7 linked regions of the Xenopus tropicalis genome follow. Each later gene encodes a partner of the first gene's protein in a complex. Links are inferred from orthologs where the notes say so. Each region holds a gene or a part of one and is shown in the gene's direction. Other genes may lie near its edges. The genes, in order: polr2e, taf1b, taf1c, rrn3, uxt, pfdn2 and ercc3.

Region 1 (4,212 bases):
TCTCCTACTTCCATATAACTGAAGGAGTCACAAGCTGGAATTGGATTTCTTACTATTGAGTGCAATTCTGAGATCTACTGGGAGCTGCTATCTTGCTACCTTCCCATTATTCTGCCGATTGGCTGCTGGGAGGGGGTTCATATCACTCCAACTTGCAGCTCAGCAGTAAAGTGTGAGTTCAGAGCACAGGTCACATGACTGTGGCACCCTGGGAAATGAAGAATATGGCTAGCCCAACGTGAAATTTCAAAATTAAATATAAAAAAAATCAGTTTGTGTTTTTGAAAAATGGATTTCAATGCAGGATTCTGCTGGAGACGCTCTATTAACAGATATGTTTTTAAAAAATACGTTTTTCCCGTGACAGTATTAATTTAACGTATTGTATCCTTACCTTGTATTTACTATCATACTTTGTATTTATTTTATTGTAATAGTCCCGTTTATTCTATTCATTTATTGTCCTACTGTACAGCGCTGGGTACATAAGTAGTGCTATATAAATAAAAATATATATACATACATAAAGATAATATTATATATCAAAATGGGGCTTGGGGCAAAAATAAAAAAAAATCTTAATAAAACACTGCTCGCCTTAAAACAGTTTAACAAGTATTTCTAAAGAATATTTAGTTTACGTAATTCTTGTAGTTAGCCTATCATTGGCACATTACCACACCCTCTTTTGCCAATAACTAATCCCTATACCTTTAGAGGGTTAACTCTTAAACTTAGCCACTTATAATATTAATGCAGAGCGCCATGTAACTATGTGACGCAATATAAATACACGAAGACGATGAATATAGGAACGGTAGTAATACCCACCAACAAAATGGTGATCTTTACAAGAACATGTACGCCGGCTTCTTGCCTACCACAAACATGGCCGAGCCCTTCAACTGCGACGATGCAATTTCTTTGGTCTTCCTTAGCGTGATACCGAAACTTGAACAAATTCTACAACCCGAATAGCCACCTTCAGCAAAAAAGGGAAACGATATTATGCGCAACTTTATTCCTTTTCCACAGTGCAGTTTTAAGCTAATAACACGTCCTCAGAGATACCCCACAGCAGTATTCGCTTGTAGCCATCAGGCAGAGTGAGGGCAGCCCATGTAGGGTCCTCCTGCAGCCCAGGGAGCCGAGCTCCGGAAATCGCGCTCTTCTTCCTGTTTGGTCTCGTGGAGACAACATGGACGATGAGGAGGAAACTTACCGGTTGTGGAAGATCCGCAAAACTATTATGCAGGTGAGAAAATTGAGTTTTAAATCTTTTTGTGTTATAATCTTCGCCTTTTTCAGTAATTCGAACTCAGCTACGTTGTGTTGGGTACCATTCATTTCTGCTTCCAGCATATACTTCTACTGTACTCTTCGTCCCTGTCACTTTTACTTTTGTGCTTTACCTCATCTGTCTCCATATTACCTGTTTCACTCGCATCCTTCTTTCCTTCGCCAGCTGTGCCATGACCGTGGTTACTTAGTAACGCAGGATGAATTGGATCAGACACTGGATGAGTTTAAAGCCCAGTTTGGGGACAAACCTAGCGAAGGGCGCCCTCGCCGAACTGACCTGACTGTATTAGTAGCTCATAATGATGATCCCACAGACCAAATGTTTGTTTTCTTCCCAGGTGAGTAGGTGCAAAAAAAAAAAAAAAAACAGTGACTGGCTGAAGGGTCTATACATGCAGACAAAGGATTATTACATGTTTGCCTGTCTTATTTGTAGAGGAACCCAAAGTTGGCATTAAGACAATTAAGATGTATTGCCAGAGAATGCAGGAGGAGAACATTACGAGGGCTTTAATCGTGGTGCAGCAGGGAATGACCCCATCTGCCAAACAGGTAATTCTGCCAGCTAACGTGCACCTTACCTAAGCATACTTACTGGGTGAACTGCAGTTCTGATCCAAAGCTTTTATAAATGAAAATGTACAGATAAAATATATACTACTCCGATGAATTAATTTTCTATGTGATTTGTATGTTTTGCTGGCAAAAGACACCTAAGCTTTATTTTTTATCTTAAAAATGGGATAAGTTTGAAAGACCCTTCTTTAAAAAGGAATACACCTATTATTAAAACTATAGATCTCATCTGCTAAATGCAAAAAAGTGCAATTTGCCATATTACCCCTCAGTGCAGCATCCTTCCTGCAGCATAGGCATACACTTACATGGTTGTCAGTCATGTGCAGTTCAGCTTCCACAACCTTGATTGGCTATGAGTGCATAAGGAGGCCCAGTGCTTAAAGGAACAGTAACACCAAAAAATGAAAGTGTATAAAAATAATTAATATATTATATACTATTGTTTTGCACTGGTAAAAGTTGTGTGTTTTCTTCATAAACACTACTGCAGTTTATATAAATACCCTACTGTGTAGCCACGGGGGCAGCCATTTAAATTGAAAAAAAGAGAAAAGGCACAGGTTGCTAAGCAGATAACAATTAAGTAGCAGATTCCCATTGTATTCTACACAGTTTATCTGGTATCTTCTTATGTAACCTGTGCCTTTTCTCCTTTTTTCAATTTAAATGGCTGCCCCCATGGCTACACAGCAGCTATTTCTATTAACTATAGTAGTCTTTCTGAAGCAAACACGCAACTTTTACTAGTGCAGGGCAACAGTAAATTATATTTTAATTATTTTAAAACATTTTTATTTTTTAGTGTTACTGTTCCTTTAACACCAGGCCCAGACTGCCAGTCTGTGGATTCTGGCAAATGCCAGAGGAACTGCTGTAAGATCCCACAGACAGTTGCTGTTTGGGCCTTTGTGTATTTGAAATATTAGGGCCTATTTTGAATCTCAGCCTGGGTCTGCATAACACCAGGTCAAACCAGATGTTAAGCACAGGGCTTGGGTGCAAGTAGGTGCAGGTCATATGCGTATGCTGTTTAAAATTTGCAATTCTGGCTGATGAACTAACATAGTCATATTATCCAAGTATAAGCAGGTTACCGTTTTATGTTCTCTGGCAAGTAAGATAAAGGCAGACGTTTACTAGTTAATTAGTTACTAGTTAATATTGTATGATTATTACTTAATACTACTACCACGTTTTCTAAAAACAGGATCGAATCACTTTATTTGCCTGATGGAAAGGTAAAGGACAACTATAAACCTTCTCTCCTATGATATAGGAAAGAGGATGGACCGGTCATTGCATATAAATATGAATGTAACCTTTTCATGCTAAATCATAATAAAGACGTTAAAAAAAAAAATTGGCAATTCTGCACCTACTTCTTGTAAGTGAGCCCTTTTGACTTCAATCCAGTTGAAACCTTGTTTCCTATGCATAGGATAAATACTGCCAAAATCTGAAAAAATATTTTAATTATTAAATTATCAGTTAATGTAGTAAAATGTTTACATGGTGTTAGTCCATAATAAATACTATCCAAAGCTTCTGCCAGCTTTCCTATCTTTATAGCAATCTCTTTATTTTGCAGTCCCTGGTGGATATGGCACCCAAATACATTCTGGAGCAGTTTCTACAACAGGAGCTTCTGATTAATATCACAGAGCATGAGGTGAGTTTTAATACAGAAGGGGAAGAAACACTTTCACTCATACTGAAACGTTTCTGTTATCCATACACACTGACATGTAATAGGTGGGTGCACATGGGAACGTTAGGTGCCTTCTTGATGAGTAGCAGCAGAGTATTGTAATGTGTTAGCCATAGTTTCAGAAAAAAGATTTTAGGTGGTAACATGATACCGTTTAAAATTAATTAACCAATAAACAGTATCACCTTCCCACAAAAATCTTTTTTTTTTTTTTTTTGTGAGTCCATATAGTTTAGAAGTTCATCTTTATTAAGTTCTGTACTGTTTATTTCTGATAGCTCAGGGATTTTACATTTGACCATAACTTTGTAAACTAAAACTCCCAATATGTTGCATTTGTAGCTCGATTGCTGGATGAATTTGTAGTTCGGTACCTCTAATAGCAAATGATAGGCAGGATGTGTAATTCAGAATATAATAAAAGCCCACTACATTTTAATTTTTTTTTTTTTTTGTGTTTCCTTTGCACACTGTAAAAGAATAGTTATAGTTGATAATACTTGTGCTATGCACGTGGTGTTATGTTTTACATTTGTATAACCACAGCTTTCCCAATTACCTGCTTTAGCATTCCTCTCCTATGATACTATAATCACCTTTTAAAAGAAAGCCAGTAGGGTCAA
Region 2 (3,756 bases), on another chromosome or scaffold:
ATTTTGCATATGTTTTAATAGAAAAAGCCATCCCCTTTTGAGAGGCAAGTGAATATTAGAGTTAAAGGAACAGTAACACATAAATATTTGATTACCTTATACACAAAACATCTCTAATGATAGGGATACCCTTTCCCTCTGGTCTTTTATAAAATGCTTCATTTAGAATTTTAGTTATAAACTGCTCCATAGCAGCACGGCGAAAAGGCAACGGGTGCTTGAATTCCTGACCCAGAAGTTGTCTTCGCATGGGTGGACCTTCGGCACGTAAGCTTTTTATCAGCACCTGTAGTTCAAATTTATGTTTCTATTTCTTCGGACAGTTTAGTGGTATGTTTGTGATCATAAATTTAATTGCAGGAGCTGATAAAAAGCTTAAGTGCCGAAGGTCCTCCGATGCGAGCGGTGGATGTAAATCACCCTCCTATGTCACAGGCATGAGTGCTTGCTCATTATGCACATGCATGTGCCCCAATATGGCTGCCCGCTCCAGGGGCTCCCTCACGGTGCAGGTAGCACAGCGCTGGCAGTTTTTTGAAAAAAACAAACAAACTATTGTTTCCCCTATTTGGAGTGCGGGCTGTATTAGCCTGCACCTCTGGTGGGGGAAACAATAGGAGGTGATCGGTGCCCTTTAACTGTGGTCAGGGAAAGGGGTGGGGGCCAGTAGAGGTTAAACTTTAACTTTATCTTCTTTAATTATGACTAACATTTTCTATGTAGATTATTTGACCTATTGACATAATTAAGGTGACCATAAAAATCACTTGGAGGGCCACATATGGCCCTTCGGGATTTCCAGTTGGACATCCCTTAGGTACATTATCTCTGTCTCAAATGCTATCATCCCCTAACAGCCCAGCAGTCGGAAGCCTCAGCCTCTTTACCAAGTTTTATTCGTTTTAGGACACAAATATAAATTGTTCTTTTATGCTTTGTAGATTTGTTTTCGAAAAACACATTCCGTACATAAATGCACATCAATATCTGCCGGAAGAAATAAAAGTATACGGACATGATGTCAGAATATTCCGGATGCAGGTAGGTCTCCATGCTGCTACAAAACCTGGATCTAACTTCTCAAACCAATTTTTTAAAGATCTTTGCATTGCTGTTTTATTAAAAGGAAACTGTAAAGCAAATCACATGTTGAAGAGGGTTTGGATGCATTCATAAACACATGTATTTAAGCTTCTTCATGCTAGATGTATGTAGGTTCTGATGTAACAATCTGCTGTTCTAACTTCTACCACTTACAAGGTTACAAGGATACAAGGTTCCCACTGTGTTTTGCAGTACATGTATAGGACCTATTATCCAGAATGCTTGGGACCTGGGGTTTTCTGGATAAAGCATCTTTCTGTAATTTCTGTACCTTAAACATTAAACTAACATTAAATAAAGCCAATAGGATTGATGTGCCACCAATATAAATTCATGCAGCTTAGTGCCATCAGATACAAGGTACTGATTTATTATTACAGAGAAAAAGGAAATGATTTAAAAAAAAAAAAAAAAAATTGGATTATTTCCTTAAAATAGACCCTATGGGAGATGGCCTTCCTGTAATTTGGAGCTTTTGTATTATAAATTTCCAGGTAAGGGATCCCATGCCTGTAACACTACAAGGGGAATGGTATTGAGGGTCCTTCTTGAATGAGCATTTGGAGTCTGCTGAAAATCATTTAACATTAAATAAACCCAATAGGACTGTTCTGCCCCCAATAAGGGGTAATTATATCTTAGTTGGGATCAAGTACAGGTACTGTTTTATTATTACAGAGAAAAGGGAATCATTTAACCATGAAATAAACCCAATAGGGCTGTTCTGCCCCCAATAAGGGGTAATTATATCTTAGTTGGGATCTAGTACAGGTACTGTTTTATTATTACAGAGAAAAGGGAATCATTTAACCATGAAATAAACCCAATAGGGCTGTTCTGCCCCCAATAAGGGGTAATTATATCTTAGTTGGGATCAAGTACAGGTACTGTTTTATTATTACAGAGAAAAGGGAATCATTTAACCATTAAATAAACCCAATAGGACTGTTCTGCCCCCAATAAGGGGTAATTATATCTTAGTTGGGCTCAAGTACAAAGTACTGTTTTATTATTACAGAGGAAAGAGAAATTATTTTTAAAAAGTTTAATTATTTGATTTGTTGGAGATAGTCTTCCCATAATTCAGAGCTCTTTTGGATAATGGGTTTCAGAATAACTGAATGTTCTAGTTTCTGAGCAATTACATCCACATTTTTAACAGTGATTCTCTCCCCTTTACATGCAATGATGTTCATTCAGTATGGTGGTAAAAAACAAGCTTATTGATAAAGAGGCCCCTATTTCAGGCAGCTTTGCTGACAGAAACACAAGTCAGATGATCTATTGGCCTTCTGCCCTTGGGCCAACAATGTTCATTTTTTTTTGCCTCATAAAAGTGGAATAGTTCATGCGAGAATGAAAATCCCTATGACATTTATTGCCTGCATTGAGAACTGCATGAAATGTCTAAAATAGGTGTATAAATATAATGTATACATTATAGATAGACACATAATGTTTCTATCTATCTATATGCATTTTGCTGATCCTTTCTGTTAAGCCATATGGGTCTGGTGTAAGTGTGGAATTTGTCTGTACATGTCAAGTACTTTACTGGTTCATCCTCTTCAGCTACCACTAGAGGGCATCAAACGTCTGTAAAATTTCTCCTAAAACCTGCTGTGAGTAGGCACTGATAAGTGTGAGGGAATGCAGTCAAATATTTAACGTATTTTATTTCATTTTTATGGATTCCAAGGTCTAAATTTATGAAAGAGATTGATTTGTGTCCCCTTTTATGTACTAAATATTGAGGAGCAAGGAGTGAGCGGGCTCTGTGCAGTTGTACCCTCTGGTTGTTGAGAAGTAGTAGGGACTCAGTGGTGTTGTTGCAGTTGGTCGTTTAGACGTATCTATGGGTAGGTGTATTTGTGCATTACTTTTACAGGTGCTGAGCTACACTGCACATAGCGATGCGCATCTCCTGGTTGTACAGTCCAGCACTAATTTAGTTCCATAATGCTGTACTGTATGCTATCCCATAGGCAAAGCAGTATCAGTATACTTCTACATACTCATCTCTGAACACTAACTTCATTTTCTAAGCAAAGCAAAACCAGAAGTCTTTTCATCTGCTGGCTGAACTGAACAGCAGTAGCCTTGTTTCAGGTTCTTTATAGTAAAAGTGTGGAAACTGCTAATATCTTGAAAAACAGAACAAAAAAAATTGCAAAGGTACTCAGAAGAGCAACTCTACATTACTTTGAGGGTTAAGATCCCTTTGAAGTACAGCAATGCAATTGACTAGACAAATTATTTCTTATTATTAAAGGACATGTAAAGCCCCACAAAAATATGTAATCAGTAAATAGCCTCTTTGAAACCTTAAATACCCCCTCTGGTTGCTTAAAGGTTAATAGTTAGGCTTTAGTGTCCCCTCAATCACTTAGGATTCCTTCTCCTACTCTAACCCACTTAGCTGCCTCCCTTAGGAATTAAGTTTGGCTGTTGGCTACTGAGCATGCTCAGTTCTTCTCTGCATGCTGGGCCTGATAGTGGGTTTGGGGAAATATTTCCATACTTCTTGTGCTCAAGACTCTCATATTAGGTTCAACATAATAGTCTGCAAGCAGTGAAATTATTGTAATGCAAAGGATATTTGTGTGTGTACATAGTATATTTACAGAAACAAAGCAGGCTGTTCTTACAGTG
Region 3 (4,515 bases), about 120 Mb from region 1:
AGTTAGGGAATGCGGGGATAGGAGGGGATAGTTAGGGAATGGGGGGATAGTTAGGGAATGGGGGGATAGTGAGGGAATGGGGGGGATAGTGAGGGAATGGGGGGATAGTTAGGGAATGGGGGGATAGGGGGGGATAGTTAGGGAATGGGGGGATAGGGGGGGATAGTTAGGGAATGGGGGGATAGGAGGGGGATAGTTAGGGAATGGGGGGATAGGGGGGGATAGTTAGGGAATGGGGGGGGTAGTTAGGGAATGGCGGGATAGGGGGGATAGTTAGGGAATGGGGGGATAGGAGGGGATAGTTAGGGAATGGGGGGATAGGGGGGGATAGTTAGGGAATGGGGGATGGGGGGGATAGTTAGGGAATGGGGGGATAGGAGGGGATAGTTAGGGAATGGGGGGATAGTTAGGGAATGGGGGGATAGTTAGGGAATGGGGGGATAGTGAGGGAATGGGGGGATAGTGAGGGAATGGGGGATAGTTAGGGAATGGGGGATAGGGGGGATAGTTAGGGAATGGGGGGATAGGGGGGATAGTTAGGGAATGGGGGGATAGGGGGGATAGTTAGGGAATGGGGGATAGGAGGGGGATAGTTAGGGAATGGGGGGATAGGGGGGGATAGTTAGGGAATGGGGGATGGGGGGGGTAGTTAGGGAATGGCGGGATAGGGGGGGATAGTTAGGGAATGGGGGGATAGGAGGGGGATAGTTAGGGAATGGGGGGATAGGGGGGGATAGTTAGGGAATGGGGGGATGGGGGGGGTAGTTAGGGAATGGCGGGATAGGGGGGATAGTTAGGGAATGGGGGGATGGGGGGGATAGTTAGGGAATGGGGGGATAGGAGGGGGATAGTTAGGGAATGGGGGGATAGGGGGGATAGTTAGGGAATGGGGGGATGGGGGGGTAGTTAGGGAATGGCGGGATAGGGGGGGATAGTTAGGGAATGGGGGGATAGGAGGGGGATAGTTAGGGAATGGGGGGATAGTTAGGGAATGGGGGGGTAGTTAGGGAATGGCGGGATAGGGGGGATAGTTAGGGAATGGGGGGATGGGGGGATAGTTAGGGAATGGGGGGATAGGGGGGGATAGTTAGGGGATGGGGGGGATAGGGGGGGATAGTTAGGGAATGGGGGATGGGGGGGGATAGTTAGGGAATTGGGGGGTAGGGGGGGGATAGTTAGGGAATGGGGGGATAGGAGGGGGATAGTCAGGGAATGGGGGGATAGGGGGGGATAGTTAGGGAATGGGGGGATAGTTAGGGAATGGCAGGAGGGGAATAGTTGATTTTTATCTGGTGTAAAATTCCGACACAACAGACAGGAGCCAAAAGCCCAGCTCTACGCCCAAATCACACCTTGAAGGCGTCTCTTGGGAGGGAACTGAAGGAAACTTCCGAGCCGCCACCTTGGAACTCAGAACTGCACCCAGCGAGTAGCAATATGGCCGCTATGCGCTGAGACACGCCCATTGTTCTGTGATTGGCTACATGGTCATGTGACTGAGCGTTCTTACTCTTCATTGGTGCGTAACCTGAAATAACACTTTATGACGGGCCGGGAGAGAGGTACAAGCAAAAACTTCAGGTTCGGATTGTGTGGGGTGTGAGGAGAAGGGAAGTGTGAGTGTGAGTGTGAGTGTGAGTGTCCGCTCGGTAATGGGTGTTTGTCTGTGGGAGACTGTAGCGCTGTGGGAGACTGTAGCGCTGTGGGAGGCGAGTGTGAGCTCTGAGGGTGCAACTACACGTGTTTGTGGGAGATACAGTGAGTAATGTGGGGCGGTCTCACCGTGATTCCCGGGGGTGTCCCTGAGTGTATGTATTACTCGCTCCTGTACTCATACCGCCGGGGGTTACATTTGGCTCTGGGCCTCCTGTGTGTGCAGCTGTGTGATCTAGTGTGTTTGTACCCCCTACTGTAAATGATAAGGATATTAGCAGTCACTGAGGGGTTCTGTGCCCCCCATATAAAGGCACAAGGCTGCAGGCTGAGTTATACAGGGAACTCTGAGTATCACTCATGTATTATAAGGGATAATGTACCCCCTACTGTAAATGATAAGGATATTAGCAGTCACTGAGGGGTTCTGTGCCCCCCATATAAAGGCACAAGGCTGCAGGCTGAGTTATACAGGGAACTCTGAGTATCACTCATGTATTATAAGGGATAATGTACCCCCTACTGTAAATGATAAGGATATTAGCAGTCACTGAGGGGTTCTGTGCCCCCCATATAAAGGCACAAGGCTGCAGGCTGAGTTATACAGGGAACTCTGAGTATCACTCATGTATTATAAGGGATAATGTACCCCCTACTGTAAATGATAAGGATATTAGCAGTCACTGAGGGGTTCTGTGCCCCCCCATATAAAGGCACAAGGCTGCAGGCTGAGTTATACAGGGAACTCTGAGTATCACTCATGTATTATAAGGGATAATGTACCCCCTACTGTAAATGATAAGGATATTAGCAGTCACTGAGGGGTTCTGTGCCCCCCATATAAAGGCACAAGGCTGCAGGCTGAGTTATACAGGGAACTCTGAGTATCACTCATGTATTATAAGGGATAATGTACCCCCTACTGTAAATGATAAGGATATTAGCAGTCACTGAGGGGTTCTGTGCCCCCCATATAAAGGCACAAGGCTGCAGGCTGAGTTATACAGGGAACTCTGAGTATCACTCATGTATTATAAGGGATAATGTACCCCCTACTGTAAATGATAAGGATATTAGCAGTCACTGAGGGGTTCTGTGCCCCCCATATAAAGGCACAAGGCTGCAGGCTGAGTTATACAGGGAACTCTGAGTATCACTCATGTATTATAAGGGATAATGTACCCCCTACTGTAAATGATAAGGATATTAGCAGTCACTGAGGGGTTCTGTGCCCCCCATATAAAGGCACAAGGCTGCAGGCTGAGTTATACAGGGAACTCTGAGTATCACTCATGTATTATAAGGGATAATGTACCCCCTACTGTAAATGATAAGGATATTAGCAGTCACTGAGGGGTTCTGTGCCCCCCATATAAAGGCACAAGGCTGCAGGCTGAGTTATACAGGGAACTCTGAGTATCACTCATGTATTATAAGGGATACTGTACCCCCTACTGTAAATGATAAGGATATTAGAAATCATTTGTTATGAGCCGAGGGGATCCAGCCTGAAGGCCAATTATAGTGAGTACATTTAGCTTATGTAACTGCCTTATAATCTTTCTTGTTCTTGCCTTGTAGATGACTTCTTAGATGGAGTTTCCAGGCTCTTTGTTCCCCTCATTTTACAGCGAGGGGCCCTGTGCCAGGGAGGCCCCCACTTCCCACTCTGTGTTTGGCCTGGGGGAACACAGCAAAGTCCAGCACAGTAACAGCGCGCAGGTAAGGTTCAGTAGAGACATTAGTTTATTGGGGTTTAGATGGCAGCTCTGGGGATAAGTGTCAGAAATGTTACAAAGGAAAATAAGAAAGGGGATCACATGGGGATGCTTTAGTGGGGGGGGGGGGGGCAGTGCTGGGGAAGGGGGTGGTTATAGTGGTTGCACCCACAGACACCTTGTCATTGTTTTCACAGGATGGTTACAAGTTCATTCCCTTGTACAGCAGATCTGCAGAACGTTGGAGCCCAACCAGCCCGGCACCCATCCCACTGCTGCCTCCTAACCCTGGTAACTCATATGGGAAGTCTCTCAGCCACCTCCTCCGCTTTGGGCCTGGGGGGACTGACCCATAAACACGTCGGTGCCATTAGTACAGTTTGGGCCTAGGGGGGACTGACCCATAAACACGTCACTGCCATTAGTACAGTTTGGGCCTAGGGGGGACCGACCCATAAACACGTCACTGCCATTAGTACAGTTTGGGCCTAGGGGGGACTGACCCATAAACACGTCGGTGCCATTAGTACAGTTTGGGCCAAGGGGGGACTGACCCATAAACACGTCACTGCCATTAGTACAGTTTGGGCCTAGGGGGGACCGACCCATAAACACGTCACTGCCATTAGTACAGTTTGGGCCTAGGGGGGACCGACCCATAAACACGTCGGTGCCATTAGTACAGTTTGGGCCTAGGGGGGACTGACCCATAAACACGTCACTGCCATTAGTACAGTTTGGGCCTAGGGGGGACTGACCCATAAACACGTCGGTGCCATTAGTACAGTTTGGGCCTAGGGGGGACTGACCCATAAACACGTCACTGCCATTAGTACAGTTTGGGCCTAGGGGGGACTGACCCATAAACACGTCGGTGCCATTAGTACAGTTTGGGCCTAGGGGGGGCCGACCCATAAACACGTCGGTGCCATTAGTACAGTTTGGGCCTAGGGGGGACTGACCCATAAACACGTCACTGCCATTAGTACAGTTTGGGCCTAGGGGGGACTGACCCATAAACACGTCGGTGCCATTAGTACAGTTTGGGCCTAGGGGGGGACTGACCCATAAACACGTCGGTGCCATTAGTACAGTTTGGGCCTAGGGGGGACTGACCCATAAACACGTCACTGCCATTAGTACA
Region 4 (4,541 bases), on another chromosome or scaffold:
TATCCTTTCCCTACTCATTCTCATGTTCTGTTATTGTCTTTCTCACTCTCTTTCCTGGGACTTTTTCTCACAGCGGATGGAAGTGCAGTGTCTGTGATTTGTGGGAGAATCTGGGGCTCAATATGACAGGTGGCGGCGCCATCCTCTATGGAACACGTTACTGTGACGGCAGCGGAGGGAATAACCACGAGTTACAGCATTGCCAAGAAACAGGCTTCTCCTTAGCAGTGAAACTGGGCACCATCATGCCCAATGAAGCCGGTCAGTTCTGCACCAAAGAAATGCTGTCCTTACTCTTACTCTGTCCTGTTTGTAGCATTCTGTTAGTGGGCATGTATGGGTGGAAATGTTGCACAGCTACACATCACAGGCTGCAGAGAGTTGTATTTTATCAGTGAATTCTGGGTGATTGAGGGAGTGTATATATGCCTGTTCCCAGTAATACAGTAACACAGGATTTGTCTGTTTAAATAGGAAAGTGATTGTTTTGGGCACAGTGCAAGGCGAGTACAATTAGGCATCAGGATGTAGGTACAGTGTGATAAGCAATACTTAATAAGGTCCCTAATGGGCATTGTACAAGATCTGTGCCATACATTTTATTTGGGCGCTGTGTTAAATGGTACTTATTTTCTGTCTCATCAGAGCCATGCTTGGACATGGCCTGTTATCTGGGAATACTCAAAGAGAGCTTTACAGAAAGATAGTGACACATCTCCAGAACATGAGGTAACATTTATTTCCTCATGTGCTAAATATGGGAATTTATAAGCAAAATAACTGCCTTTCCACTTTGCCACACCTTTGTATATATCAGTGAGCTGTAGATCAGGTGGCTTGTCATACATTACATTAACATTTATTTATAAAGTGCCAACATATTCCGCAGCGCTGTACAATAAGTGGGTTACATACATTGGACATACAGAGTAACATATAAAGCAATCAATAACCGATACAAGAGGTGAAGAGGGCCCTGCCCAAAAGAGCTTACAATCATACAGCAGATAGGTTTCGGCAGAACCCAAAATCACAATGTATTGGGTGCAATATGGTTACAAGGCTCTCCATTGGATATTAAGCATTGTGTTATGTACCCTGATGTGTCTGTGCATTGTTTCCCAACCTACATATCTTGAAGTTTCAGAATTTTGGATAACTGTACTCTTTCCTTGCTGTATACATTATATCATTGAGTACAGGGCATGTCACCTGGGGCTCTCCATATGCCCTGTCCCATTTACTCTCTCTTCTGTATAGGAAGTGCTTGCTTTTGTGCAAGGTCTTTAGGATGGGATCGCTCTGAGAATGTTTAAAGGAGACATATCCTATAAAAATTATGAATGTACTAGGGAATTATACTCCTCTAGATATAGAAGGATTGTGCTTAAAAATGTTGTGTTTCTGGCAGGGACCGTTAGGACACGCCCACTCTTCATTTCACATTGGATGGAGAAGTGATAGGATCTATAGGGAGCTCCAATAAAGGGGCCATTGTTACAGATAGGGTTAATGTTTAGCCCAAAGTGAAACCAGCACCGGATATTATTCATAATTGCCTACAAAATTAGGGTTTTTCCCCATTTATCCAATATGTCTCCTTTAAAGAAGATGGAAAGGCTAAAAAGTTGCAATCCAATTTTATCTTCACATTCTCTTTATTGGGCTGCAGCTATTAGGCAACCAGAATAAGTGTTTTTACTTTGTCCCTCCCTTTAGCACGCTGAACCTAATAGAAGCTATGAGTTGTGTCACTACCACAGGTACAGTCCTTCCTCATTCCTACCACCACCCCCACTAGCACTATCATACCGCTGCAGCGCGTCACACTCACTAAGCGTGACTTCCTGTCTCATCTCGCGAGATTGTGACGATCCTCTCGGCGAGCAGGCGTGCAGCAAGCGTGGAGCTGGGCTTATAAACAGCGATCCGGGAGTGCGTTCTGTTCTGTCAAAAGTGGGTCTGTTGGGCGGTATGTTGTGATTTATCAGAAAACATCCATCCGGTACCTCTAATATTTTTGGAAGGGGGTGGCGCTGATTAAAACACGCCAGTTTTAGCTGTAATGCGAGATTTTATTAGTGGGCTCTGTTTAGAAAGTACATCATTTTCTTGATTATCAGTGGTTTGTTGTGTAATGTCACATAACAATAATGTCAGTATCCCACTTCCTCCCTCCCCCGTGTTGTTGCCACTGGATCTACATGCACCGCTGGATTAAGTTCCGCCCCCCCTGCACCTGACTGAACAGCTGTGCCCCTCCCCCCCAATATTCTGCTCAGCCACACCCCCAAAACTTGCTCACAGAAAATTTTACAGAGGTATAAGTAAATTAAAAATAGGCCCTGTCATTTCAAGCACACAGATGCCCAAATCGCCCCCGCACAGGGCCAATAACTAGTGTCTTAGGGCTCTGGCACACAGGGAGATTAGTCGCCCGCGACAAAACTCCCTGTTCGCGGGCGACTAATCTCCCCGAGTTGCAATCACCTGCCATCCCGCCGGCGAACATGTAAGTTGGCGGTAGGATGGCACACGCGGCGGCACGATTTCGGGAAATCGACGAAGTTGCCTCGCAAGGCTTTTTCGGCGATTTCCTGAAATCGCGCCACCGCGTGTGCCATCCCACCGGCGACTTACATTGTCGCCGGTGGGATGGCAACTGGCGGCAACTCGGGGAGATTAGTCGCCCGCGAACAGGGAGTTTTGTCGCGGGCGACTAATCTCCCTGTGTGCCAGAGCCCTTATAGCATTTTACAGCAGCCCCTCAGATTACAAGTCCAGGCCTGGAGAAGTCTCTGTGGCCCTGGAAGAAACACAACGAAGGGAAGGGATATGGGTAGGGAAAGAACTATAAGGAAATAGAGAACATGTGCAGGGGGAAGGAGTGTGAGGGAATAGGGATGTGAGGAAATTTGGGAGAGCAGGCACAGGGTAAGACAGTGGTGGCCAATGTCGATCGTGGTCCACCAGTTGATCCCCCGTGGATTCCTGGTAGACTGCGATCAAGTCTAGGATGCGAAAGTGCTGTGTGAATGCGTACGTACATTCCCTGGTCATCGGTCGATCGCGACTGAAAAAAGTCTGGCCACCCCTGGGGTAAGGGAATAAGGGGAAAAAAGGGGAATGGTGATAGGAATATAACTTCTATAACTATAGACTTCCCATGCCATCTGCATAGAGAAGAATGATTATGCGCCCCATACCACCCACACAGAAAGTAATAGAATGGAAAAAAAGGCATAACTATAATAACCCCTAACACTCATACCTGTAGGGCCTCCCTTGCCATTGTCACCCACGGGATCTCTCATTCTCTTCAAAACGTGCACATTGTAAATGTGTGAGACTTTAATGGTGGATATACACTGAGTAAGGGTTGGTAGTACAGCATTCCCCCATATGCTTCAGACCTGTAGATTTTGATAAATAATGTACCTTTACCTCCTATAATTTATATAGTGAATAATGTGCCCCCTATTGTAAAATATTAGGCTACAGGTATGGGACCTATTATTCAGAATGCTTGGGACCTAGGCTTTTCCAGATAAGGGGTCTTTTCATAATTTGGATCTCCATACTTTGTCTGCTAAAAAAGTTTTTAAACATTAAATAAACTCAATAGGATTGTGTTGCCTACAGTAAAGGATTATTAATATTGTAGCTGGCATCTAGTACAAGGTACTATCTTATTACAGAAAAAAAGAAAATTGTTTTTAAAAGTTTTAATTATTTGATTAAAATGGAGTTGGAGATGGCCTTCAAATAATTTTATGGGTCTTCTGGAGAACAGATCCCATACCTGTATTGTAAGTCATCAAGGTGTTCTTTGACCATCTGAAACCACAAGGCCAAAGGGTGATTGCTTTTGTACAGGTCATGAAACTCTAAAGTAACTTCTAATATACTCATATTTTATAAGAGGGGGTGCATTATTTAATTTAATAAACAAGTTTCAGCAAGTCATCTGATAGAAATGTAAATTAAGTAATATAAAGTTTAATGTAATGTTTGCTGAAATGTATATTAAGTAATATAAACATATTTGAAAAAGTTGAAAGTTGAAAGTTTAGCCATTTTCCAGAATTTTGTGTAAATGGGTACATAAAATAACATGTTTTGTAAAACAGCATATATTAGTTCAGGTTTTACAATGTAACATATCAGCAAAACAGCAAAACAATATCTGTGCCTACACATAATGTGTATTTTTCATTTTTATTATATGTGCTGTCTGCAGATTAAAGATGTTGACAGAAAGTGATGAATTTCTCAGCTCTCCACCCAAAAAAACTGTCAGATTTGGTGGAAAAGTGACAGAAATCTTGTTCAAGTATTCAAAGGTAATTATCCATCATAGTGTAAAGCTAATGTTATATTAGATACGAAACTTGCATAAATAATAAAACTGATAGCATAGGCCAAAGTACTACTTTACCTAGCTAAAGTAATATAAAATGCAAATTGCCATTTCCTGTATGCTCAACTTGTGTCTCTTCTGCAACATATGGAGGACTAAGTATTTTTCAAAAGCTGTTGGG
Region 5 (4,484 bases), on another chromosome or scaffold:
CCGGGGGGGGGGGGTCAGTATCCGGGGGGGGGGTCAGTATCCAGGGGGGGGGGGTCAGTACAGGGAGCCTATCGCTGAGGCAGTATATGGGGGGGGCGGTCAGTATATGGGGGGGGGTCAGTATCCGGGGGGGGGGGTCAATATATGGGGGGAGGGTCAGTATATGGGGGGGTCCAGTATCCGGGGGGGTGGGGGGTCAGTATCCGGGGGGGTCAGTATATGGGGGGGGGTTCAGTATATGGGGGGGTCAGTATATGGGGGCGGGGTCAGTATATGGGGGGGGGTCAGGGGGGGGGTCAGTATAATGGGGGGTCAGTAATTTTATGGGGGGGTCAGTATATGGGGGGGTTCAGTATATGGGGGGGTTCAGTATATGGGGGGGGGGGTCAGTATAATGGGGGGGTCAGTATCATGGGGGGGGGTCAGTATATGGGGGGGTCAGTATTATGGGGGGCGGTCAGTATATGGGGGGGGGGTCAGTAATCCGGGGCTGGTGGGCCAGTATATGGGGGAGGAGGGGTCAGTATATGGGGGGGGGCATGTTAGACGGGCAGGAGGGCGATAGTCGTGTGAGTGGGGAGATGACACAGGACTGTATCATGAAGGACCGGAGCCCCACAACTGCTACCATTCTCTCGGTCCGTCTTACAACGGGATCCGAAAGGGCTCAGGCGGGCCGGAGCAACTGAGGGGGGTCCTAGTATATGGGGGGGAGTTCATATCATGGGTGGGGGTCAGTATATGGGGGTCGACGTCCGGTCTCCAGTATATGGGGTGGTCAGTATCCGGGCGGGCTATCCTGGCGGAGAGGGGTCAGTATATGGGGGGGGTCCTCAGTATCCGGGGAGTCAGTATATGGGGGGGTGGCTAGTATTTATGGGGGGTCAGTATATGGGGGGGGCAGTTATATGGGGGTCAGTATATGGGGGGGTCAGTATATGGGGGGTCGATATGGGGGGTCGTATTATGGGGGGGTCAGTATATGGGGGGGGCAGTATATGGGGGGGGGGGTCCAGTTATATGGGGGGGGTCAGTATTATGGGGGCGGGTCAGTATTATGGGGGGGGGTCAGTATATGGGGGGTCAGTATATGGGGGGTCAGATCCGGGGGGTCAGTTATACTGGGCGGTCAGTATATGGGGGGTCAGTATATGGGGGGAGCGGTCAGTATATGGGGGGGTCAGTATATGGGGTGGGTCAGTATATGGGGGTCAGTATATGGGGGGGTCAGTTATATGGGGATGTCCAGTACAGACCTATCGCTGAGGGGCTCCAGTTCGGGGCGCTCTCCCCCTGCAGCAGGCGGGGTAAATCGGGCGGAAGAGAGGCGGTTGAGGAAGGTGATACAGACGATGGGTAAGACGACCCACAGGCGGATACTGGAGTCCAACAGCAACTCGGGGCTCCCCATGTTCCTCAGCCAGTCAGCCAGCGGAAACGGAAATCCCCAGGGTTAGGAAGGAGTTTCCGCCCAAAACAAAAATGGTGGAAGCGGAAGTGCGGGGCTGTGACGCAGGAGCCGCGGGGGGTGCCGGGAAGGGATGGCGGGGCTGGGGCACAAGGTGCAGCGATACGAGGCGTTTGTGTGGGAAACTCTCCGTGGGGATCTGCGGTAAGTCCTGTGGCCTGTCCGTGGCACTTACCCCTCCCCACCCTTATATACCCCCCCTCTTATATTACCCCCCCTCCCTCTTATATACCCCCCCCTCTATATACCCCCCCTCCCCTCTTATATACCCCTAACCCCCTCATATACCCCTCTTATATACCCCCCTCATATACCCCTCTTATATACCCCCCTCTTATACCCCTCCTCATATACCCCCCCCCTCTTATACCCCCTCCCCTCTTATATACCCCCCTCTTATATACCCCTAACCCCCCTCATATACCCCTCTATATACCCCTAACCCCCCTCATATACCCCTCTTATATACCCCTAACCCCCTATTACCCCTCTTATATACCCCCCTCATATACCCCTCTTATATACCCCCCTCTTATTACCTCCTCCTCTATATACCCCCTCTATTATACCCCTAACCCCCCTCAATACCCCTTCTTATATTACCCCTAACCCCCCCTCATATTACCCCTTTCTTATATACCCCCTAAACCCCTCATATACCCCTCTTATATACCCCCCTCTTATACCCTCCTCATATACCCCCCCCTCTTATACCCCTCCGCATTATACCCCCTTATATACCCCCTCCCCTCTTATTATACCCCCTCCTCATATACCCCTTCTTATATACCCCCTTATAACCCCTCTTCATATACCCCCCCTCTTATACCCCCCCTCACTATCATATTACCCCTCCTTATATACCCCTCCTCATATACCCCCCTTATACCCCTCCTCATATACAACCCCCCCTCTTATTACCCCCCCTCTTATACCCCCCCTCATATCATAACCCCTCTATTACCCCCCCTCTTATACCCCCCTCATATACCCCCCCTCTTATACCCCTAAACCCCTCTCATATACCCCCCTTATATTACCCCCTCAATACCCCCCCTCTTATACCCCTAACCCCCCTCATATACCCCCCCTTATATACCCCTCCCTCATATACCCCCCCTCTTATATACCCCTAACTCCCCCCCATACCTCTCTTATACCCCCCCCATACCCCTCTTATACCCCCTCTTTATACCCCTAACCCCCCTCATATACCCCCCTTATATACCCCCTCATATACCCCCCCCTTATATACCCCCCTCATACCCCTCATATAACCCCCTTATACCCCCTCCCCTCATATACCCCCTCATACCCCTCTTATACCCCCCTCATACTGCTAATTCCCCCTCATACCCCTCTTATACCCCTAACTCCCCCCCATACCCTTATACCCCCCTCATATCCCTCTTATACCCCCTCATATTCCTAACCCCCCTCATACTCCTCCTTATACCCCTCTTATATCCCCTCATACCTAACCCCCCCTCATACTCCCCCTCATACCCCTAACTCCCCTCATTCTCCCCCTTATACCCTCCTCATACCCCTCTTATATCCCCTCATACCTAACCCCCCCCTCATACTCCCCCTCATACTCCCCCTCATACCCCTAACTCCCCTCATTCTCCCCCTTATACCCTCCTCATACCCCTCTTATATCCCCTCATACCCCTAACCCCTAGTCTATGGTATTTAATAACCTGTAGCCTCAACTTCCATCCACACATCCAAACTGCTGCCTGGTTGCTAGGGTAACTAAACCTTAGTAACCAAATAGCAGTGACAATTCCAAGAGAAACTTAAATAGAAAAGAATAAATGCCCCTGAGCCGACTGTGTTATGCACAGGGCATTAAGGGAACCAGTGGGGGGCATCTTAGGGTGATTGTACCCAGCATGTGTGATACCCTCACAGTAATTGCCCCCGTCTCGCTGCAGGAAGGTGCTAGAGAGCCGCGATGCCGTGTATGAGAAGATCAGCCAATACCTGCAGCTCAAAAACGTGATCGAGAGGTTACAGGTAAGTACTGGCCCTGCCCCCCATAGGGTAAGTACTGGCCCTGCCCCCCCATAGGGGTATGTACTGGCCCTGCCCCCCCATAGGGGTATGTACTGGCCCTGCCCCCCCATAGGGGTATGTACTGGCCCTGCCCCCCCATAGGGGTATGTGCTGGCCCTGACCCCCCATAGGGTATGTGCTGGCCCTGCCCCCCCCATAGGGTAAGTACTGGCCCTGCCCCCCATAAGGTAAGTACTGGCCCTGCCCCCCCCATAGGGTAAGTACTTGCCCTGCCGCCCCATAGGGTAAGTACTTGCCCTGCCCCCCCATAGGGGTATGTGCTGGCCCTGCCCCCCCCCCCCCCATAGGGTAAGTACTTGCCCTGCCCCCCCATAGGGGTATGTGCTGGCCCTGCCCCCCCCCCCCCCCCATAGGGTAAGTAGTGGCCCTGCCGCCCCAGTGTGTGACACTAATGAGTATAAATACACACACAGGCTGCTGTATATGCTGCACCACATGGATCTACCATTAGAGGCGTGTCCCTGCTTGTGGGCTGAGCCCTGCCCCATTTCAGTGATGGTGAAGAGGAAGGATAATGCCTAGTGGAGGATAAGGGGTACTGCAACAGTGAAGTGATATTGTTCCAGAGGGCCAATAATGTGTTTGACCCCATGTTCTGCTCCAGTGATACCTTATTGCCCTTAGTGTGCCAGTCTGTTGCCCAGGAAATTCTTATTGGGTGGGAATAGGGGCATTTGTGGTGCCAATGATCTCTGCTGTTCCCCCAGGAGCTGCCCCCCGAGACGCTGCAGACACAGGTGGACCTGGGCTGTAACTTCTTTGTGAATGCAGAAGTGTAAGTGATGTTTCCCTCTACCCGCGGGCACCTCGTATAACTGGGCACCTTGTGTCACTGGGTATAACCGGGGACTCTGTGTAACGGGAGTATAACCGGGCACCTTGTTTAACTGGGTATAACCGGGCACCCTGTATAACGGGGGTATAACCGGGCACC
Region 6 (4,491 bases), on another chromosome or scaffold:
TGATATAAAGTAACAGTAACAATAAAACGGGTCAGTTCTCCTGTTGCTAGGGCTCAAATTACCTTAGCAACCAGGGAGTGGATTGAATGAGAGACTGGTATATGAATAGGGGAGGGGCTGAATAGAAAGATAAGGAATAAAAAGTAACAATAAAACTGGAGCCTCACAGAGCAATAGGGTTTGGCTGCCGGGGTCAGTTATACTGTTGCTAGGGCTCAAATTACCTTAGCAACCAGGGAGTGATTTGAATGAGAGGCTGGCATATGAATAGGGGAGGGGCTGAATAGAAAGATAAGGAATAAAAAGTAACAATAACAATAAACTGGAGCCTCACAGAGCAATAGGGTTTGGCTGCCAGGGTCAGTTATACTGTTGCTAGGGCTCAAATTACCTTAGCAACCAGGGAGTGATTTGAATGAGAGGCGGGTATATGAATAGGGGAGGGGCTGAATAGAGAGATAAGGAATAAAAAGTAACAATAACAATAAAACTGGAGCCTCACAGAGCAATAGGGTTTGGCTGCCGGGGTCAGTTATACTGTTGCTAGGGCTCAAATTACCTTAGCAACCAGGGAGTGATTTGAATGAGAGGCGGGTATATAAATAGGGGAGGGGCTGAATAGAAAGATAAGGAATAAAAAGTAACAATAAAACTGGAGCCTCAAAGAGCAATAGGGTTTGGCTGCCGGGGTCAGTTATACTGTTGCTAGGGCTCAAATTACCTTAGCAACCAGGGAGTGATTTGAATGAGAGGCGGGTATATAAATAGGGGAGGGGCTGAATAGAAAGATAAGGAATAAAAAGTAACAATAACAATAAAACTGGAGCCTCACAGAGCAATAGGGTTTGGCTGCCGGGGTCAGTGACCCCCATTTGAAAGCTGCAAAGAGGCAGAAGAAGAATTTATTTAAAAACTATAAAGAAATAAATGGGAAACAGGATTGGGAGATTTAGTCCAAGACACTAAGTGCTAAGACTTTACTTTCCCTTTAATCTCTTTACCAAGATAGGGAATGAGCTGGGAACCCCAAGATGAACCCCATTTGACTTGTTATTCTCTAGTGTAGTTATATATGTTTATTTAACCTGCATCTGGGCAGAGAAACCCCAGAAATGGTGGCTGACCAATAACAGGCGCACTAGGGAGTAGTCACATGACAACAGGAGGCTAACGTCAGCTCCCCGGGCTTTGGCTGAGCATTCTGGGATCTGTAGTTTAGAGACTTCCGGACACCCCATTAGCCAATCGCATTACGCAGCCCCCCCGCACGGGCTATAAAGAAGCGGCGATATATCTGACACACACACTTTCCCAGGAGGCCTCAGCTGTCACAATGTGTTGACGTCACTTACTACGGCCCGACTATGACGCGGCTTATGCGCCCCACCAACCAGGCGCTTCCAGTCATGCTTTTCCCTCTCTCAACATGGCGCCGCCAGGACTTCCCGGGCGGAAGTGGCGTCGGAACGCATAGACTTCCGCTGCGCGGAGAAGGTGCGCAGTGCGAGAGAGAAGCGTGATGGCGTCTAATGCAGCGAAGCAGGTGGCGGCCGAGCAGGTACTGGGCATGGTGGGCATAATGGCTGCTGGGGGGTCTGCCCGGCCGGTACCCCCCCCCCCCAACCGGCCGTTTAAAGGGCAACTAAGCCCAAAGCCCTTTTTTCATTATGGCCATTCATTCCCTTATATAGACACATGTGCTATTATAAGCTCAGTGGGAACAGGCTTCCTTGGGCATTTACTCAGATTCATTCCCTATTGGGATCCCTGATAGCCTTCCCACAGCAGCCCAGGAGCAGCCGGCTCTTCTGCTTCCTAGAAACTGTTGCTAGCCAGCTTGGTAGCAGTGTTGCTATGGTACTGAGCTGTTAGTGATATCCCATAATCCCTCAGTTGGAAGGGGGTTCAACAATGGGACTGGGGCACCTTAGTGTTTTATTATTACAGAGAAAAGGGAATCATTTAACCATTAAATAAACCCAATAGGGCTGTTCTGCCCCAATAAGGGGTAATTATATCTTAGTTGGGATCAAGTACAGGTACTGTTTTATTATTACAGAGAAAAGGGAATCATTTAACCATTAAATAAACCCAATAGGGCTGTTCTGCCCCAATAAGGGGTAATTATATCTTAGTTGGGATCAAGTACAGGTACTGTTTTATTATTACAGAGAAAAGGGAATCATTTAACCATGAAATAAACCCAATAGGGCTGTTCTGCCCCCAATAAGGGGTAATTATATCTTAGTTGGGATCAAGTACAGGTACTGTTTTATTATTACAGAGAAAAGGGAATCATTTAACCATTAAATAAACCCAATAGGGCTGTTCTGCCCCAATAAGGGGTAATTATATCTTAGTTGGGATCAAGTACAGGTACTGTTTTATTATTACAGAGAAAAGGGAATCATTTAACCATGAAATAAACCCAATAGGGCTGTTCTGCCCCAATAAGGGGTAATTATATCTTAGTTGGGATCAAGTACAGGTACTGTTTTATTATTACAGAGAAAAGGGAATCATTTAACCATTAAATAAACCCAATAGGGCTGTTCTGCCCCCAATAAGGGGTAATTATATCTTAGTTGGGATCAAGTACAGGTACTGTTTTATTATTACAGAGAAAAGGGAATCATTTAACCATTAAATAAACCCAATAGGGCTGTTCTGCCCCCAATAAGGGGTAATTATATCTAAGTTGGGATCAAGTACAGGTACTGTTTTATTATTACAGAGAAAAGGGAATTGTTTAACCATTAAATAAACCCAATAGGGCTGTTCTGCCCCAATAAGGGGTAATTATATCTTAGTTGGGATCAAGTACAGGTACTGTTTTATTATTACAGAGAAAAGGGAATCATTTAACCATGAAATAAACCCAATAGGGCTGTTCTGCCCCCAATAAGGGGTAATTATATCTTAGTTGGGATCAAGTACAGGTACTGTTTTATTATTACAGAGAAAAGGGAAATAACTTTTTAACGTGATTAAAAAAGAAGTCTATGGAACATTATGGATAAAGGGTTTCTGGATATTGGACCCCATAGGCCCCTGTAAGAAGATGAGCCAATGCTGGGCTGATCTGTTTGCCCACATTGTTTAAGAGTTGCCATTAAAGGGAAAGTTAAGCCAAATACCCTTGTTTAATATGTACGTTCTGTGTTTGTTGCTACAGGTGGTGGCTGGATTTAATCGCCTGCGCCAGGAGCAGCGAGGTCTCGCGTCCAAGGCAGCGGAACTGGAGATGGAGCTTAACGAACACACGTGAGTCTCATTAGCAAACAGGTCGTTCAGCAATGAAGAATCCTTCAATGTGATTCTCCCCGAGGGTCGTTATTCCTCTCTGTTGCACGCTACATTTGTTCTGTAGTCGGAACCAGTGCAGATCTCCCTAACTAACTGACAGTCGTCTCCCTCGCTCCGCAGGTTGGTTATCGACACCCTGAAGGAAGTGGAGCAGGGCAGGAAGTGTTTCCGGATGGTCGGGGGGGTACTGGTGGAACGCACCGTGAAGGAAGTGCTTCCGGCTTTGGAGAATAATAAAGAGCAGGTAAGGCTCTGCCTTGTGGGCACCTAATTAAAGGGCATATTAACCTTTATTGGGGGCAGAACAGCCCTATTGGGTTTATTTAATGGTTAAATGATTCCCTTTTCTCTGTAATAATAAAACAGTACCTGTACTTGATCCCAACTAAGATATAATTACCCCTTATTGGGGCAGAACAGTCCTATTGGGTTTATTTAATGGTTAAATGATTCCCTTTTCTCTGTAATAATAAAACAGTACCTGTACTTGATCCCAACTAAGATATAATTACCCCTTATTGGGGGCAGAACAGCCCTATTGGGTTTATTTCATGGTTAAATGATTCCCTTTTCTCTGTAATAATAAAACAGTACCTGTACTTGATCCCAACTAAGATATAATTACCCCTTATTGGGGCAGAACAGCCCTATTGGGTTTAATGGTTAAATGATTCCCTTTTCTCTGTAATAATAAAACAGTACCTGTACTTGATCCCAACTAAGATATAATTACCCCTTATTGGGGCAGAACAGCCCTATTGGGTTTATTTCATGGTTAAATGATTCCCTTTTCTCTGTAATAATAAAACAGTACCTGTACTTGATCCCAACTAAGATATAATTACCCCTTATTGGGGCAGAACAGCCCTATTGGGTTTATTTCATGGTTAAATGATTCCCTTTTCTCTGTAATAATAAAACAGTACCTGTACTTGATCCCAACTAAGATATAATTACCCCTTATTGGGGGCAGAACAGCCCTATTGGGTTTATTTAATGGTTAAATGATTCCCTTTTCTCTGTAATAATAAAACAGTACCTGTACTTGATCCCAACTAAGATATAATTACCCCTTATTGGGGCAGAACAGCCCTAAGATATAATTACCCCTTATCAAAGCATTCAAGACCAAGTAAATGTTAGTTGGGGAGGGCGGAGCTTGACACTGGCTAGGGTGTGGCTACA
Region 7 (4,333 bases), on another chromosome or scaffold:
TCTCAGTGCCCCCAAACCAGGGAGTTATTTTTGAATTCCTGACTTGGGGGCAAGTTTTGGTTGAATAAAAACAAGATTCCCCTGTAAGCTGATAGGGTGCATAGAGGCCCCTAATAGCCAATCACAGCCCTTATTTGGCTCCTCCATGAACATTTATGGTGCTTGTGTTGCTCTCCAAGTCTTTTTACTTTGACTGTGGTTCCCGAGTAAGAAAGGTTGGGGATCCCTGGTATAGAGGTAGGTTCATGAGTCCTAGAACTGTGATGACCCAGCAGCGAGCCAGTTTCTGATTTTGTTAGTCCATTCGCTGCAGTGTGTTCTGGGCTCTTCCGTAGCCTCTGTCCCCCATGTATTTGTAATTAGGGGACATACATTATAGTCATAGTAGTAGTAGCAGGAGCCAGGGTTGGACTGGGGGGTGCAGGGCCCACCGAGGCTACCCCCCGGGGGGCCCGCACCCCACAAGGGGCCTCTTCTGGCTGCGTCCCCTGCTGGGGCCCCCACCGCACACCCCTATCCCCTCACAGGGCCCCCCGCCCGACGTCCTCCCCCGAGCTTGCGTATGTGAAACCCATCAGGGGGGGACACCAACGGCCAGGGGAAGCTGCAACAGGGTCGGGTCTGGGCCGATGGGGCCCACCATGTCCGGGGGCCCACCATGTCCAGGGGCCCACAGGGTATTTTCCCGGTGTCCCAGCAGCCCCTGTCCGGCCCTGGCAGGAGCTATTTCCATGTCTATTATTCCCACACCTTTCAGTGAACCTTTAGTATGTTATAGAATGGCCTATTCTAAGAAACTTTTCAATTGGTCTTCATTATTTATTTGTTATAGTTTTTAATATCTGCCGCTTTCTTCTGACTCTTTTCCCCTTTAATTGTCAAATGGGGGTCACTGACCCCGGCAGCCAAACCCTATTGCTCTGTGAGGCTCCAGTTTTATTGTTATTGTTATTGTTATTACTTTTCTTTCTGTTTAGGTCCCTCTCCTACAAACATATCAGTCTCTCATTCGAACCAATTCCTGGTCGCTCGGGTAATTTAGACCCTAGCAACCAGATAACTGCTGAAACTGGAGAGCTGCTGCACAAAAAGGGAAATATTTACAAAACCAGGAATAATACAAAAAAATGAAGACCAATTGCAAATTGTCTCAGGATATTACTCTCTATGTTATACTAAACGTTAACTCAAAGGTGAACAATCCCTCCAATTGAGATTCTGTCATGACTCCCCCGCCCTTTTCTCCCCCCTGCCCATCATCTCTGTGGGTTTTTTCCCCAGCGAGAACGATCCTAGCGATTTCTATAGTGGGTGCTTTACACAAAGGGGCCGCCAGGTGGCAGCATTGAGATTTTCCAGAGCAACAAGTAGCAAATGTCTCTTGCCGGTTTCCGTAGTGCGCACCGGAAGTGGGGAAGAAGCAGCAGAAGAAGCAGCCGGAAGGTGTTGCTGCCAGGGAACCTGCGATGGGCAAGAGGGATAAGGCGGACAGAGGTAGGGACAGTGTCCCATAGTCTGTGGGGCTTTGTGCCGTGTGGTAGCGCTAAACTCAGGGGAGGGAGGGGGTTAATAACGCAGGGGCCTTCTGGGAGTTTCACGTAATTCCGTGCATTTGCCTTGGGTTATACCCCCAATAGGTGCCTCAGGGTTATACCCCCAATAGGTACCTCAGGGTTATACCCCCAATAGGTGCCTCAGGGTTATACCCCCAATAGGTGCCTCAGGGTTATACCCCCAATAGGTGCCTCAGGGTTATACCCCCCAATAGGTGCCTCAGGGTTATACCCCCCAATAGGTGCCTCAGGGTTATACCCCCCAATAGGTGCCTCAGGGTTATACCCCCAATAGGTACCTCAGGGTTATTACCCCCCAATAGGTGCCTCAGGGTTATACCCCAATAGGTGCCTCAGGGTTATACCCCCAATAGGTGCCTCAGGGTTATACCCCCAATAGGTACCTCAGGGTTATACCCCCAATAGGTGCCTCAGGGTTATACCCCCAATAGGTACCTCAGGGTTATACCCCCAATAGGTGCCTCAGGGTTATACCCCCAATAGTACCTCAGGGTTATACCCCAATAGGCCTCAGGGTTATACCCCAATAGGTGCCTCAGGGTTATACCCCCAATAGGTGCCTCAGGGTTATACCCCCAATAGGTACCTCAGGGTTATACCCCCCAATAGGCTGCCTCAGGGTTATACCCCCAATAGGCGCCTCAGGGGTTATACCCCCAATAGGTGCCTCAGGGTTATACCCCCAATAGGTGCCTCAGGGTTATACCCCCAATTGGCCTCAGGGTTATACCCCCAATAGGTGCCTCAGGGTTATACCCCCCAATAGGTGCCTCAGGGTTATACCCCCAATAGGTGCCTCAGGGTTATACCCCCCAATAGGTGCCTCAGGGTTATACCCCCAATAGGTGCCTCAGGGTTATACCCCCAATAGGTGCCTCAGGGTTATACCCCCAATAGGTGCCTCAGGGTTATACCCCCAATAGGTGCCTCAGGGTTATACCCCCAATAGGTGCCTCAGGGTTATACCCCCAATAGGTGCCTCAGGGTTATACCCCCAATAGGTGACCTCAGGGTTATACCCCCCAATAGGGCCCCTCAGGGTTATACCCCCAATAGGTGCCTCAGGGTTATACCCCCAATAGGTGCCTCAGGGTTATACCCCCAATAGGTGCCTCAGGGTTATACCCCCAATAGGCGCCTCAGGGTTATACCCCCCAATAGGTACCTCAGGGTTATACCCCCAATAGGTACCTCAGGGTTATACCCCCAATAGGCGCCTCAGGGTTATACCCCCCAATAGGTACCTCAGGGTTATACCCCCAATAGGTGCCTCAGGGTTATACCCCCAATAGGTGCCTCAGGGTTATACCCCCCAATAGGTGCCTCAGGGTTATACCCCCAATAGGTACCTCAGGGTTATACCCCCAATAGGCGCCTCAGGGTTATACCCCCCAATAGGTACCTCAGGGTTATACCCCCAATAGGTGCCTCAGGGTTATACCCCCAATAGGTACCTCAGGGTTATACCCCCAATAGGCGCCTCAGGGTTATACCCCCAATAGGTACCTCAGGGTTATACCCCCAATAGGTGCCTCAGGGTTATACCCCCAATAGGTACCTCAGGGTTATACCCCCAATAGGCGCCTCAGGGTTATACCCCCCAATAGGTACCTCAGGGTTATACCCCCCAATAGGTACCTCAGGGTTATACCCCCAATAGGTACCTCAGGGTTATACCCCCAATAGGCGCCTCAGGGTTATACCCCCCAATAGGTACCTCAGGGTTATACCCCCAATAGGTGCCTCAGGGTTATACCCCCAATAGGTGCCTCAGGGTTATACCCCCCAATAGGTGCCTCAGGGTTATACCCCCCAATAGGTACCTCAGGGTTATACCCCCAATAGGCGCCTCAGGGTTATACCCCCAATAGGCGCAGCAGGATAATACCCCCAATAGGCGCCACTGACCTACTCTGATTTCCCTCCCAGGAGACAAAAAGAAGTTCAAGCGGCGTCACTATGAGGAAGAGGATGAAGAGGAAGAGGAGGTGCCCGGGGGCGAATACCAGGAAGCCGTTCCTTCTGCCGCGGGAAAGCAAGTGGACGAAGCCGGCACAAAGCAGGATGAGTACGGAGCCAAAGACTATCGCCTGCAGATGCCTCTGAAAATGGATCATTCCTCTCGCCCCCTGTGGGTGGTACGTTCCATATGTTACTCTGAGGCGGCTAGCGGATTCCATTAAAGGGCTTGTTTACCTTTGAATTAACTGAGTTAATATGACGTAGACATTAATCTGAGCCAATTTTTTATTGGTTTTTATTTTTTGTCGTTAAGTAGCTCTCCAGTTTGGCATTTCAGCTGCTACCTTGTTGCTAGGGTCTTGTTTACCCTAGCAACCAGGCGGTGGTTTAAATGAAAGACTGGAATATGAAGAGGAGAGGGCCCGGATTAAAGAAAAAAGTATAAAGTTACAATATTAATACAATTGTAAACTTCAGGGCAATAGTTTTCGGCTGTCGGGTCACTTGAAAGCCGGAAAAATGTAGAAGTAAATCAGTCGCTGATGGAAAAACATTGGATTTAATTTAATCTAAAATATCTGTGAACTCTCCTGACTCGGGGGTGGTTGGGCTAAAGGGAAAGCTGTACCATTAGTTGGCGCGGGGTTCAGCCCAAATTACCCCTTGGATTTACCTCCTCGTTTACGTATATTGTGCTAATCCCTTAATCCACTCAGCTACTTAATGTTTCAACACTCTGTAACAGGGCCCTTGGCTCCTGATAATCCCCTTGAGGGTTAATCCTTAGATTGTAAGCT

What was found.
Region 2: polr2e (region 1) and taf1b share a complex: the UniProt entries of both Homo sapiens proteins name them as parts of the pol I pre-initiation complex. The link is inferred for Xenopus tropicalis from reciprocal best matches to the Homo sapiens genes POLR2E and TAF1B.
Region 3: polr2e (region 1) and taf1c share a complex: the UniProt entries of both Homo sapiens proteins name them as parts of the pol I pre-initiation complex. The link is inferred for Xenopus tropicalis from reciprocal best matches to the Homo sapiens genes POLR2E and TAF1C.
Region 4: polr2e (region 1) and rrn3 share a complex: the UniProt entries of both Homo sapiens proteins name them as parts of the pol I pre-initiation complex. The link is inferred for Xenopus tropicalis from reciprocal best matches to the Homo sapiens genes POLR2E and RRN3.
Region 5: polr2e (region 1) and uxt share a complex: the UniProt entries of both Homo sapiens proteins name them as parts of the PAQosome complex. The link is inferred for Xenopus tropicalis from reciprocal best matches to the Homo sapiens genes POLR2E and UXT.
Region 6: polr2e (region 1) and pfdn2 share a complex: the UniProt entries of both Homo sapiens proteins name them as parts of the PAQosome complex. The link is inferred for Xenopus tropicalis from reciprocal best matches to the Homo sapiens genes POLR2E and PFDN2.
Region 7: polr2e (region 1) and ercc3 share a complex: the UniProt entries of both Homo sapiens proteins name them as parts of the TBP-based Pol II pre-initiation complex. The link is inferred for Xenopus tropicalis from reciprocal best matches to the Homo sapiens genes POLR2E and ERCC3.

Annotation. Positions count from the first base shown.
Region 1 is NC_030677.2:100,196,508-100,200,719, reverse strand, and holds the start of polr2e (DNA-directed RNA polymerases I, II, and III subunit RPABC1), read left to right. Parts: upstream 1-1,188; 5' UTR 1,189-1,198; coding exon 1,199-1,255; intron 1,256-1,465; coding exon 1,466-1,640; intron 1,641-1,738; coding exon 1,739-1,854; intron 1,855-3,469; coding exon 3,470-3,550; intron 3,551-4,212. UniProt on the Homo sapiens protein: DNA-dependent RNA polymerase catalyzes the transcription of DNA into RNA using the four ribonucleoside triphosphates as substrates.
Region 2 is NC_030681.2:138,017,246-138,021,001, forward strand, and holds part of taf1b (TATA box-binding protein-associated factor RNA polymerase I subunit B), read left to right. Parts: intron 1-941; coding exon 942-1,041; intron 1,042-3,756. UniProt on the Homo sapiens protein: Component of RNA polymerase I core factor complex that acts as a GTF2B/TFIIB-like factor and plays a key role in multiple steps during transcription initiation such as pre-initiation complex (PIC) assembly and postpolymerase recruitment events in polymerase I (Pol I) transcription.
Region 3 is NC_030677.2:215,209,553-215,214,067, forward strand, and holds the start of taf1c (TATA box-binding protein-associated factor RNA polymerase I subunit C), read left to right. Parts: upstream 1-1,474; 5' UTR 1,475-1,581; exon of another isoform or gene 1,582-1,616; intron 1,617-1,663; exon of another isoform or gene 1,664-1,758; intron 1,759-3,234; 5' UTR 3,235-3,246; coding exon 3,247-3,375; intron 3,376-3,568; coding exon 3,569-3,662; intron 3,663-4,515. UniProt on the Homo sapiens protein: Component of the transcription factor SL1/TIF-IB complex, which is involved in the assembly of the PIC (pre-initiation complex) during RNA polymerase I-dependent transcription.
Region 4 is NC_030685.2:34,347,959-34,352,499, reverse strand, and holds the start of rrn3 (RNA polymerase I-specific transcription initiation factor RRN3), read left to right. Parts: upstream 1-1,596; 5' UTR 1,597-1,956; exon of another isoform or gene 1,957-1,972; intron 1,973-4,240; 5' UTR 4,241-4,247; coding exon 4,248-4,343; intron 4,344-4,541. UniProt on the Homo sapiens protein: Required for efficient transcription initiation by RNA polymerase I (Pol I). Required for the formation of the competent pre-initiation complex (PIC).
Region 5 is NC_030684.2:1,333,982-1,338,465, forward strand, and holds the start of uxt (protein UXT), read left to right. Parts: upstream 1-1,499; 5' UTR 1,500-1,541; coding exon 1,542-1,612; intron 1,613-3,408; coding exon 3,409-3,490; intron 3,491-4,257; coding exon 4,258-4,325; intron 4,326-4,484. Other genes in the region: tmem111 (ER membrane protein complex subunit 3), read right to left, coding at 1,257-1,411. UniProt on the Homo sapiens protein: Involved in gene transcription regulation. Acts in concert with the corepressor URI1 to regulate androgen receptor AR-mediated transcription. Together with URI1, associates with chromatin to the NKX3-1 promoter region.
Region 6 is NC_030684.2:143,079,971-143,084,461, reverse strand, and holds the start of pfdn2 (prefoldin subunit 2), read left to right. Parts: upstream 1-1,516; 5' UTR 1,517-1,519; coding exon 1,520-1,558; intron 1,559-3,175; coding exon 3,176-3,264; intron 3,265-3,426; coding exon 3,427-3,550; intron 3,551-4,491. UniProt on the Homo sapiens protein: Binds specifically to cytosolic chaperonin (c-CPN) and transfers target proteins to it. Binds to nascent polypeptide chain and promotes folding in an environment in which there are many competing pathways for nonnative proteins.
Region 7 is NC_030685.2:86,618,701-86,623,033, reverse strand, and holds the start of ercc3 (general transcription and DNA repair factor IIH helicase subunit XPB), read left to right. Parts: upstream 1-1,390; 5' UTR 1,391-1,466; coding exon 1,467-1,494; intron 1,495-3,503; coding exon 3,504-3,712; intron 3,713-4,333. UniProt on the Homo sapiens protein: ATP-dependent 3'-5' DNA helicase/translocase. Binds dsDNA rather than ssDNA, unzipping it in a translocase rather than classical helicase activity. Component of the general transcription and DNA repair factor IIH (TFIIH) core complex.